3 linked regions of the Macaca fascicularis genome follow. The protein of the gene in region 1 interacts with the protein of each later gene in a pairwise test. Links are inferred from orthologs where the notes say so. Each region holds a gene or a part of one and is shown in the gene's direction. Other genes may lie near its edges.

Evidence for each region.
Region 2: the proteins of PITX1 (region 1) and MGAT5B interact in a two-hybrid assay, tested with the Homo sapiens proteins (2 studies listed by BioGRID). The link is inferred for Macaca fascicularis from reciprocal best matches to the Homo sapiens genes PITX1 and MGAT5B.
Region 3: the proteins of PITX1 (region 1) and SPAG8 interact in binary tests that used the Homo sapiens proteins (3 or more experiments, as listed by UniProt). The link is inferred for Macaca fascicularis from reciprocal best matches to the Homo sapiens genes PITX1 and SPAG8.

The regions. Positions count from the first base shown.
Region 1 is NC_088380.1:141,576,100-141,579,842, reverse strand, and holds the start of PITX1 (pituitary homeobox 1), read left to right. Parts: upstream 1-1,077; 5' UTR 1,078-1,259; exon of another isoform or gene 1,260-1,264; intron 1,265-1,824; 5' UTR 1,825-3,743. UniProt on the Homo sapiens protein: Sequence-specific transcription factor that binds gene promoters and activates their transcription. May play a role in the development of anterior structures, and in particular, the brain and facies and in specifying the identity or structure of hindlimb.
Region 2 is NC_088390.1:83,377,042-83,380,684, forward strand, and holds part of MGAT5B (alpha-1,6-mannosylglycoprotein 6-beta-N-acetylglucosaminyltransferase B), read left to right. Parts: coding exon 1-38; intron 39-1,416; coding exon 1,417-1,673; intron 1,674-2,219; coding exon 2,220-2,418; 3' UTR 2,419-3,643. UniProt on the Homo sapiens protein: Glycosyltransferase that acts on alpha-linked mannose of N-glycans and O-mannosyl glycans.
Region 3 is NC_088389.1:63,589,897-63,593,639, forward strand, and holds SPAG8 (sperm-associated antigen 8), read left to right. Parts: upstream 1-1,008; 5' UTR 1,009-1,019; coding exon 1,020-1,057; intron 1,058-1,159; coding exon 1,160-1,991; intron 1,992-2,115; coding exon 2,116-2,290; intron 2,291-2,492; coding exon 2,493-2,538; intron 2,539-2,621; coding exon 2,622-2,736; intron 2,737-2,864; coding exon 2,865-2,927; coding exon of another isoform or gene 2,928-2,945; intron 2,946-3,041; coding exon 3,042-3,224; 3' UTR 3,225-3,353; downstream 3,354-3,743. Other genes in the region: adenosine 5'-monophosphoramidase HINT2, read left to right, coding at 10-101; NPR2 (atrial natriuretic peptide receptor 2), read right to left, coding at 3,724-3,743. UniProt on the Homo sapiens protein: Microtubule inner protein (MIP) part of the dynein-decorated doublet microtubules (DMTs) in cilia axoneme, which is required for motile cilia beating.

The DNA.
Region 1 (3,743 bases):
TCAGGCCCGGCTGCCGCGCTGCCATCTCCCGGCACCTTGCGCCCGAAACGGTCGCTCTGGAGCCCGTGGCCGTCCGCGGCCGTCCCTGAGAGGGTCAGGCCACAGCTCGACCTGCCCTGTGATCCCATCCCAGAATCCCAGCAGCAAGCAGGCTCAGGCTGGGCACTTCGGGGTACCAGGAGTAGGTTCAGCCAACTGGTTTCCCCCATGAGGCTTCGCGCACAGGGTTATCTGGCCACGGGGCAACGCTGGGGAGCCCTGTGGCCTGAGGGTGAGCAAAGGGCAGGCTCCCAGTTCCCTTGCGTCCAGCCCATCTCCCAGTGGCAGCCAGCCAGGAACAGGCCTGCGGGGCCACGGAGGTGGAGGCGTCACCGTTCGCAGGCCCGGAGCAGGATGGCCGCTGGGGGATGTGCAGGCATAGGGGTTGGCCAAGGGGCCCCAGAAGTGTCTGTCCTAAGGGGTTGGTCTGCCCTTTCCTCACCAGCCCAGCCCCTGAGGAGAGAGAAGGAGGCAATCCCCCAAACAGGGCAGGTCGGGCGGTTGCCCCTCCCTAGCACCCCCTACTCCCAAACACAGAAACCCTGGGGTCTGTCCTCAAACCTCCCTGGCTGCCACGCTCTGGGCAGCGGACTCTCCCTGCCAACACGCAAGACCAGCTTCCCTCCCACAGGCTGAGCAGAAAGAAGAAAGGTCCAATCTCAAAACCCTCGATTCGACCACCAGCCCCTGTCTAAACGGAAGTAGGGCCAGCCCCTCACAAGTCAGGTGGGAAACTGGGCCCAGGGAGAGAAAGTGCGCCAGGGCCAGGCTGGGACCCGCTGCGGCTTGGTCCGCATGCGGGCGGGCGCCTCCACGGAGGTCCCAGGGCGAGCTCCCGGGCCTCGACACCCGGCCGCCAGCCACGCGGACCCCAGCCTGCGCCCCGAGGGAGGCCGGGACCCCTAGCCGGCGGGACTGCGCGCCGCCCCTCTCCCCTCAGGTCCCGGCGAGCGCCTAGCTTCCCCTCCCCCGCTTCCCGCCTCCCGGCCGGTGTCCCCGCCTTCCCCGCGGGCGACGGGCGGCGGCGGCTGGAGGAGCGGGCCGAGCCGAGGCCGCCCCGGCCTCGCGCGCTGGGATGTAGCGAACCAGCAGGGGTCGAAGAACCGTGCAGTGCCAGAGCCAGAGCTGGATCCGGGTCCCACAGCCGGAGCCGAAACCTGAGCCAGAGTCCGCGGCGGGCGAGCCCGGAGCCAACGAGCCGCAGACACAGCGCTGCCCAGGTGGGGTAAGAGACGCTGGGCTAGGGGCGCAGGGTCTCCGCGTTGGAGGGGCGCAGGGAGGTGGCGGCCGAGTCCTGAGCAGTTTGCTTCTGGCGTGTGTGGGTCCAGCCGGCAGCGCCTGACAGCGCAAGGCGCGGAAGGTCAGGAGCCTTCGAGGCAGCGCGAGGAGCTCGTTCCTGCACCCAGGGCACAATCATAGCCGCCGTCACCGGGTGCTACCCCACCTAACTGGTGGGATCAACCCTCTGCTTTAGCTCCGGACACCCCAAGAGGGTAGCAGCCTCGGGGGCATGGGCCACGGCCCCGCGAAGGGCACAACCTGGGAAGCCGGTGGCAGCCCCTCGCGGCGTTGCGGGACGCAGGGCCCCCATCCCCAACCCCAGGAGAAGTGGGCAGGAGAGAGGGCCGTCCGCTGCTCCCCGCTGCGTCCAGCGATAGAGTGCCCCACCACCCATGGAAGTGCTGGCCCCTCTGCGTGGCCCGGGACTTCGGCCGTGGCTTCGCTTCAAGAGGGTATTTTTCCTAAACGAAACCGCTTCATTCGTTCGTTCGTTCGTTCGGGCAGCAATGCCGCAGAAAAGCAGGAGACGTCGGTCCGCGCCCTGGCTCTCTTCGCCCCGGACCCAGACGTCCCGTCGCAGCGCTCGGAGGTGCCCCCAGCCCATGGCGGCCTGCCCTCGCCGGCACAGGTCGGGCTTTTTCTTCCCAGGAGAGAAACCCCAAATTTCCTTCGTAACGTCCAATAAAGACATTCCCGCGGCTTCTCCCGGGTTTGGTTGTTGACGCAGGGTCCCAGAGCACTGCAGCCGCTTCTCAAGAACCGGGTCTCGGATTTCTGAAATTGACCAGCTTCGTAAATTGGAGCCTATTCTCCCGCAGCAAAGGGCCCCAAAGCTGGTATCGCAGTAATGGGAACCCCAGGCTGGAATCCGGGTCCCAAACTTTTCCGATTTAGGAATTCCCTGAATCTACAAATATTTAGTTCACTTTTCTGAAAAACTAAGGCTTGTGTATTCTCTTGATATCCCTGTGACCTCTGAAAGCCACCAGGGTCAGAGGGAGGAAATCCCAGGTTGCTGTCCACTAGGGGAGGATTCAGGTCTAGGGTTCAGGTCTAGGGTAGTCAGGGCAAAAGCTACAGGCAGCAGGGGCAGCACAGAAGACCTGCTGTCCCCGTACCCTTTCCTGGGGCTGCTTTGGGCCTCCCACCTCTCTTCCAGGGAAAGGAAAAGAGGTGGGCTGGGGCGTGGAGACCAGGCTGTCTGGACTCTAGGATGCAGAGGCCTCCAGACAGGCTCAGGGTGCTCTTCTCCCATGAAAGCAACCGCTGGGAAGAGGAGGCTATGGTGCATCCATAAGTTGCCCCTGCTCCCCAGTTGTGCGACCAGCTGCTACGCCCTTCCTAGTCTTCTTCCCCCCAGCTCAGCCATTCTCAGGAACCAGACAGCATCCATGGACTTAGGTGAGAGATGGGCTGGGGAGAGCCATGGGTCCTACCAGCCGCTGACTGAGGGGCCCACAGCACAGAGTCCTGAGTTCCATACTCCCATCTGTGCTTCACTGGCGGCAGTCCTGCCCAAATACATCCTGGCTGTCCCCAGGACAGGCTGGGGATCCCCAATTGGCAGGAAGCCTCAGACTGGGGTCCCAGGAAGCCTAAAGGAGCCAGTGAGGTCTTTCCAGCCCCTACCTGAGCACCCTCCTCCCCACTTACCCAGTAGTTGCTGTATTCAAAGAAACAGGAGCTTTTATTGGGGAGGGGGTATTAGATCAGGCAGAAAGAGGTAGGTGGTCCAAACCTGCACTCCCAAAACTGGGTTTTCAAGTTTGAACTTCTCCACAGACTAAGAGGCTTAGGGCTGGAATGTCCCAGAGAGTCATGGATAGCCCTGGTGGCAGGTCATGGCACATTCCTTCCTTTTTCCTAAAATACCTTGATTCTGGGAGCAAGGATTAGAGCAGGGTGCCCCCATGGGTGGGTAGAAGGATGGCCCCCACCCATAAAAGCCTTCCAACCACCCTGCCCAAATTACATTACTAAACCATTCTTGGGCACAGGCTGTTTTTAGTGAGCTAGGCTTCAGGAAGGGTCCTCGTGGTGACTACTTCAACCCCACAACAGCCCAGGTTCTTCTGCTCAGCCCAGCCAGGACCCTAAACTCCAAAATTCTTGAACATCACAGAATCATTGCTGGCTTTGTGTGGTCAGGGAGGGGTGGGGAACAGGGCACATGGTTCCAGCTCCACCAAGCCCCCTTCCCTCCTCTCTTCCTGTCCCATCAGCAAGTGAGCTGGACACTGAAGCAGCAGGCAGAGTCCGGTGTTGGACGTGGGAACTGAGGCTCAAGGCAGATCAAGTCTTTACCTTGAGGCAAACATAGGTCACCCAGCACAGCTGGGGGAACACAGAGCCTCTGCTTACTCCTGAAAGAGTGCTGTTTTCTGTCCTGTGTGTGTGACATGTCCCTGAGTGTGCAAGAAGCC
Region 2 (3,643 bases), on another chromosome or scaffold:
GGATGCTGGAGCGGATCCACGCCTATATCCAGCACCAGGTCAGTGAGCCCTCTGGTCTCTGCCCCAGATCCCGTCAGACCAGAGGAGGGGGCTGAGCCAGCTTCATTGTCTGCCCAGGGACCTGCACCCGTGAAGTCATCCAGCTCCCTGCTCCCTCCTCCAGCCTGTCCAGTCTGTTTTCCCAGAGTTCCCTCAGGGCTGGAGACAGGCAGGCCTGACTGCGGGTGTAGAAAGCAGCACTGCTCGGGGCACCCCTGCCCGGGGCCCAACTTTAGAGCTGAGCTCCATGGCACTAACAGAAACACAAAGACTTTCATTCTTAGAAAACAGTGGTTGGAAAGTCTGGTAACCGATTGGGATTTGGTAACTGGGAAGTGAAGATCCCCGGACTCCCCACCCACCCGCTAAGGATGGCAGTGAGACTGGAACAGGAGATTGGGATCTCTGCCCTGAGAAACCAAGGACAGCCCCACGGTTTCGAAAGCTCGGCTACCCCAGCCCCCCAAGGGAGCACCCGGGCAGGCAGCTGTCCCAGGAGTACACTCCTTTCTCCTCCCATGGGTGCTCAGAGTGCCTGGAAGTAGTGGGTGAGAAGGAGGATGTGCCCTATTCCTGGGGAGTCCTGGCCCCCCACTGCATCCTGGTGGGTCTAAGCCACCGTGAGGGCTGCCGGTGGCCCAGATGGAGCGCGGCTCTGCAGGTTCCAGGTCTCCAGGGTGATGCCTGGGGTGGGCCTTGGGCTCGGGGGCCCTGGGGCAGGTGGCTGTATGGCTGTGAGAAATTTCCACGGATAGCGCGTGGCCTCCCTTTCCATCTTGTTGGCCCCACCAGTGTTAGGGGCCGGGAGAGTCTGGTTCTCCCCTGTCCCTTTACAGATGGGAATACCGAGGCCCCCAGAAGGGAGGGCGTGTTCAGGTGACAGGGTGAGGGTCAGGGCCGTGGCCAGAACCCAGGACTGAACCCAGACAGGAAACTCACAGGAAGGCATTCGTGGGGCCCTCCGACCCCTGGAGTTGAACCCTGCAGGGAGAGCCTCACGGCCAGCCTGGGGCCGTGTCCCCATGGAGGGCAGGGCTCGTGGGCCCCAGAGTAGAAACCCCAGCCTGACCTGAGCGTCGAGGCTGCTCCAGGGCAGACAGGATGCACAGGGCCCTGAATCCAAGTGCTGTTCTGCCATCCAACCCCAAGGCCCTGGGCAGGTGCTGTGACCTCTGAACCTCTATAATTCCTGTAAGCGATCTGGAGACATGAGTGTCCGTGAGAAGTAAATGAAATAATGCAGGTAAAGCTACCCGGTATTCAGTAAGCGCCCAATAGTGGTGGCTCATACTGGCACGGCAGGGCCACACCTTCAGGTGTCTCCCAGGCACACCTGGGTCACATTTCCCCGCCCTAACACTGCTCTCCTTCTTGTAGGACTTCTGTGTAGCTCCAGGCCCTGCCCTGCCAGGGGCCCACACCCCGCAGAGCCCCTTTGTCCTGGCCCCCAATGCCACCCACCTCGAGTGGGCTCAGAACGCCAGCTTGGCCCCTGCGGCCTGGCCCCCTGCACACTCCCTGCGGGCCTGGCTGGCCACACCTGGGAGGGCCTGCACCGACACCTGCCTGGACCACGGGTTGATCTGTGAGCCCTCCTTCTTCCCCTTCCTCAACAGCCAGGACGCCTTCCTCAAGTGAGTGTGCCCCCCACCCAGCCCCTATCCTCACTGGCCCAGCCGGGCTCACTGAGAGCTCTCACACCTAGAACCGGCCCTCAGCCCTGCCAGTCGGGGGGATTTAATGCTTTCCAATGAGTCAGGAAGGATCCAGAAGGGATCCTCCAGGCCATTATCCAGGTCACTGCTGCCCTACTCTTGGCCAAGCCCTAAACTACCAGGGAAAGCTCCTTCCAGTGCCTGCCGTCTTCCACCCACTCAGCCGCCTACACATCCTATTTGGGCATTGTCCTATCCCAGACCATGAAAACTGTCCCGGGTGCTCCTCCTACTGGGGCTGCCTGGGTCCCCAGCCCCTCCAGGCCAGGCCCCTCTCTTCTCCAGGGGTCCCTGGGTAGCACGTGGGATAAAGGAGCCGTAACACATCTCCTTACCCAGTCTGGGATGGGGATGGGCCAGAGAAGTGGGGCAGGCGGGTCTAGGCTCGGGGCAGCCCCTACCCTGCCCCAGCCCTTCTGCCCAAGTGACCAACGCTGAGTGACGGTGCTGTGCGGTGCCTGCCAGGCTGCAGGTGCCCTGTGACAGCACCGAATCGGAGATGAACCACCTGTACCCGGCCTTCGCCCAGCCCGGCCAGGAGTGCTACCTGCAGAAGGACCCTCTGCTCTTCAGCTGTGCCGGCTCCAACACCAAGTACCGCCGGCTCTGCCCGTGCCGCGACTTCCGCAAAGGCCAGGTGGCCTTGTGCCAGGGCTGTCTGTGAGTCCACCTCTGCCGCCCTGCCTGGCACCCATGCTGGCTCTCTCCTGCCACAGGAGAAAGCACCAGCAGGTTCTGAGCTCCGGCTGCTTGTCCTTCTTGCAACCCCTCCAGGCCGGAGCTTCCTTCCTTAGCCAGGAAGCTGGCAGAGGAGAGCCGTGCGTAGGAATAGGAGGAGGCAGCACGCTGAGCCCCTGGGACCTCCCAGGCAGGCTCCTGGTTCTCTCCTGGGGACTCACGGCAGCATCATGGCCAAGAAGATGTCGGACTACTCAGAGTCCTCATGGCCCAGGAGCAGGTGGTCGGAGGCCCCTGGCTTTGTGCAAGGCCAGATCTGGGCCAGATGGTGAAAGGGGCCCAGTCATTCTTGGGCCCAGGATGGGGCCTCTAGACTTGCAAGGGAGAGGAGCAGAGACCAGACTGCCCTGTGGTCCCTGAAGGGTCCAAGGAGGGGCCCTCCCCATGGCCCTGGAGAGCAGGCCTGGGTGGTACCTGCTCCAGGCAGGGAAACTGGGGGCTCGCCCTCCTCCTAAGAGGGAAGCCAGGCACACAGGGCCCACTGGTGTTTGGGATGTGGACAGAGGGGCAGGGGGCTGGGAGAAGGCTAAGCTGAGGAGTCCTGTTTGTGCCTCCCCTTAGCCCCTTCCCTCCCGATTTCCCGATTCCCCCACCCTCCTTCTACACTTGAGGACCACAGTTGGGGGTGCAGGAACCACCCAAACCCTAGTTGAATTGTTTCTCTCTCCTGCTTGTTCCAACCCTTTTCACTCTGGGCTTCTCCCAAAACCCATCCCGGCATGACCTGTGACTGACTCCAGACGGTGGATTTGTTCCAAAGCCTCAATCCCTACCCCCTCCAAGGGGCAGGTTTCCACCCCAGCCTCAGAGAATGGGCTCTGGGACCCCCGCCCGGGGGTGGCCTTCATGCACCAGGCACTTCCACAGGTGCTGACTCCCCAACTCCCCAGCATCTTTTGCAGACGAGGGCTTGGGATGGAGCCTTAGCCCCATGGTACGCCCTGCCCAGTTTCCAGTTGCCCTGTGTGCTTACCCCAGATAACCTCCCAGCCCATCAGTGCTGAGTCCTCATCCCTACCTCCAGCTTCCTCCGGCCTCAAACGGCCTCCAGATCTAGCCGTCCTTCTCCGAGTGGCATGCCTGCCCCGGGATGCCCCCTGTTCCTCCCCCCATGCCCAGAGCCCCGCCTGCCTCAGCGGGTCAGGCCTTCA
Region 3 (3,743 bases), on another chromosome or scaffold:
CAATTTCAGTGATCAACGATGGGAAGCTGGGTGCACAATCTGTGTATCATCTGCACATTCATGTACTTGGGGGCCGGCAGCTCCAGTGGCCTCCAGGTTGAACCTGCCAATTGACCAAAGGACACCAGACTCTGGATGCTTGGATGGAAAGGGAAAAATTGACCTTGTGATACTAATAAAACTGTTATCCTTTAATTATGCTCTCTTTAATATAAAATTTTATACCACAAAGGGGAAAGAAAACTGATTCAGGGCTATGATGCCCCTTGACTGGTCTGAGTGAAAGACACTGAGGAGGGTCCAACCTGTGGTTAAAGGTTGCCTGCAGATATGTAAGTCTTCTTGACAAGTGGTCCACCCTAGGTCAAGCTTCTAGAAAAGTTAACAGTAGGAATGAGCCTAAATGAGTAGGAAGAAACTGAAAGCCAGAAGAAACTGAAAGCCCATCCTGGCCCTTCTTCATAGGTCAAACCAGGTTCTAAGGGGGCTTAGGAGGAGGGCTGTCAATATGAGGATCTTTTATTAGAGGAGGAGTAATCACCCAAACAAAAAGCGGCTGCCTTTTCACTATTCCATGTCTCACCATTTTGCTCAAGCTAGTTTATTTTCAACCTTAACATTTGTTAAAGACCCTACTCACTTTTGAGAATGAACTAAGCAAACTAAAGGAAAGCTACTGATGCGTCTCTGCAAACACCAAGTAGGCTGTTACCTAATGCCACAGTCCTGTGCCTGTTTACAACATATCCCCATAAAGCATCACCTTAGAAAACCGCAAAGACTGTTCTGTTCGGGCGTGGAGGGGGAGGTCTTAAGCCAGCGGAACCCTAAAACCCAGTCTGAGGCGGATTGCCGCCGGGACCGGAAAGCGATCCTCCCTGACAGCACTAGGCTGAAGACTTCCGCCCCGCAGAGGACTTGCCTCCACCCCCACCTGCAAGTCCGCCTAGCTCTACTTCTGCGCAGGCTCCAGGAGTTGTTTGCTGTCTCTATGGCAACCCGGTAGCTGGAGTCTGAAGATGGAGACCAACGAGTCTACGGAGGGATCGCGGTCGCGGTGAGAGCCGCAGCTCTGGCTGCAGGCAGAAGGGGACGAGCAAGGTCAGCGGACTTCCTCTGCTGCGCTTTTGACAGCCTTGTCGTGTTTGCTTTCTTTCAGATCTTTAGACATACAGCCCAGCTCCGAAGGACTGGGGCCCACTTCGGAACCGTTTCCTTCTTCAGATGACAGTCCTAGGTCGGCCCTGGCAGCTGCAACCGCAGCAGCTGCAGCGGCTGCATCAGCTGCTGCAGCTACCGCAGCCTTCACCACCACCAAAGCAGCTGCATTATCTACAAAGACCCCAGCGCCCTGCTCTGAGTTCATGGAGCCATCCTCTGACCCCAGCCTTCTTGGGGAGCCCTGTGCGGGACCCAGCTTTACCCACAATATAGCCCATGGGAGTCTTGGCTTTGAGCCCGGCTATGTTTCCTGTATTGCTCAGGACCCTTGCACTACAACCGACCATAGTTCTAACTCTGACCTTGTTCCAGGCTCTAGCTCTGGGCCTGTTCTTGGCTCCAGCTCAGATGCTGGTCATGGCTCTGGCTCTGGCTCTGGTCCTGGTCATGGCTCTGTCCCTGGCTCTGGCTCTGGCTCTGGTCCTGGCTGTGGCTCTGTCCCTGTCTCTGGCTCTGGTCCTGGTCATGGCTCTGGCTCTCATCCTGGTCCTGCCTCTGGGCCTGGTCCAGGCACTGGCCCTGACTCTGAGCTCAGCCCCTCTATTCCTCCAGGGTTCAGAAACCTGGGGGCAGATCGAGTCCCTAACTATACCTCCGGGAGTCAGCACTGCCCCTGGGAGCCCCAGAAACAACCACCTTGGGAATTTTTGCAAGTTTTAGAACCGGGTACCCGAGGACTATGGAAACCCCCAGACATTAAAGGGAAGCCTACGATTCACTATGAAACATTGCCACGGGGCCAGTGCCTCCTCTACAACTGGGAGGAAGAGGTATTAAAGTTTTGGCCTGCTCCCTTTTCTTGAAGGCTGCCCTCAGTTTCTTAGGGGAGGCAGTAGTTCACATAAGGATGGGTACCAGAAGGGATATTATAGTCATTCAACTTGGGATCCACAGAGAGCCACCAACCACCTGGATCAAGTCCCAAGCATGCAGGATGGCTCTGAGAGTTTTTTCTTCCGACACGGACACCGGGGACTGCTGACTATGCAACTAAAGTCACCCATGCCCCGCAGCACCATCCAGAAAGACTCCTACCAGCCACCAGGAAATGTCTATTGGCCACTTCGAGGTGTGAAATGTGAGAGAGTGTAGGCCAGAACGAGTCCAATAGTCAGAGGGAAAAAGAGGAAGGAATTTCTGGTGGGGCTGTGGATTGTCCAATGGATATAAGGGCAGAACCCCCAAGGTCTTTCTTCCTTTTCTCAAGTTAGTTTCTTCTGGGCCTCCTTCTTAACCAGACCCCACCCTGCCCACCCCCCACCCTCTCACAGGGAAGCGTGAAGCCATGCTGGAGATGCTTCTGCAGCATCAGATCCGGTAAGGGATTGGGTAAAAGGGAAGAGGGAGGGGGAGGAGAAAAATTGGGTGAGAATGGCCTTGACACCTCTCGGGCTACATAGTAAAGAGGTACAGGCAGAACAGGAACCCACAAGGAAGCTCTTTGAGGTCGAGTCTGTGACACACCATGACTACCGAATGGAGCTGGTGCAATCAGGGACTCCTGCCCCAGCAAAGGTGAGAACCCACTCCCCACCCCCTGCCACTTGCACAGCTGGGCTCTGACAGGCTGTGGTCAAGTACCGGGCCCAGAGGTTGAGAGAGAGGGCTGAAGGCCAGGAGTTACTCAGTACCCTCCCTCACAGCCTCACGACTACCGCCAGGAGCAGCCTGAGACCTTCTGGATACAGAGGGCACCACAGCTACCGGTGTGTGAGGGTGACTAGGTATTGGGGGCAGAGCGGGGCAGGAAAGGTAGGGCAGAGTTGTTTTGTTCTGGCTTGGGGAAAGCGAGATCCATCCTCATCCTGGCACTCCTCCAGGGTGTCAGTAACATCAGGACATTGGATACACCTTTCCGGAAGAACTGCAGCTTCTCAACACCAGTACCCTTGTCTCTGGGGCAACTTTTGCCCTATGAACCTGAGAATTACCCCCACCAACTGGGAGAAATCTCTTCCCTTCCCTGTCAGAGAGGAAGGCTGGGTGGTGGAGGGGGTGAATGACTTCTGTCAGGGGTGAGGAGGGAAGTGGGATATGGAATATGGAATCTATTTCTGTCTGCACTAGAGAGGTCAGGAGGAAGTTAATTCTCACTGTACTTGAAGAGGCTTTACATAAAGGGTTCTCTCTCATCCCAAGACTGCTAATTTAGTGATTCTGTGAGTCACTGCGTGCATACCCCACAACCTTTCCTTGGGATTGCCCCATCCCACACTATGACATCAGAACTTTTTTTATTATTGTTTTATATTTGACCAAAATATTCTGGTTTAGATACAGATATTTACAGAAAGTAGGGAGGAAGGGGACCAAGCCAGAGAGGGACAGGTATATGTACAGGGCTGAGCTGCAGAGGGCTACAACTTCCATATAAGGTAGGTTTTTTGTGGCTGTTTTCCATTACATATGAAAATGTCCATTTCTGGTGTGTGCAGACATGGTGGCCACTGCCCACCCAGGTACCAGCAGCAGGAGACTGTCTGACTTGGGAAGAATGGGGGTTTACAGGAGTCCAGGAGGTC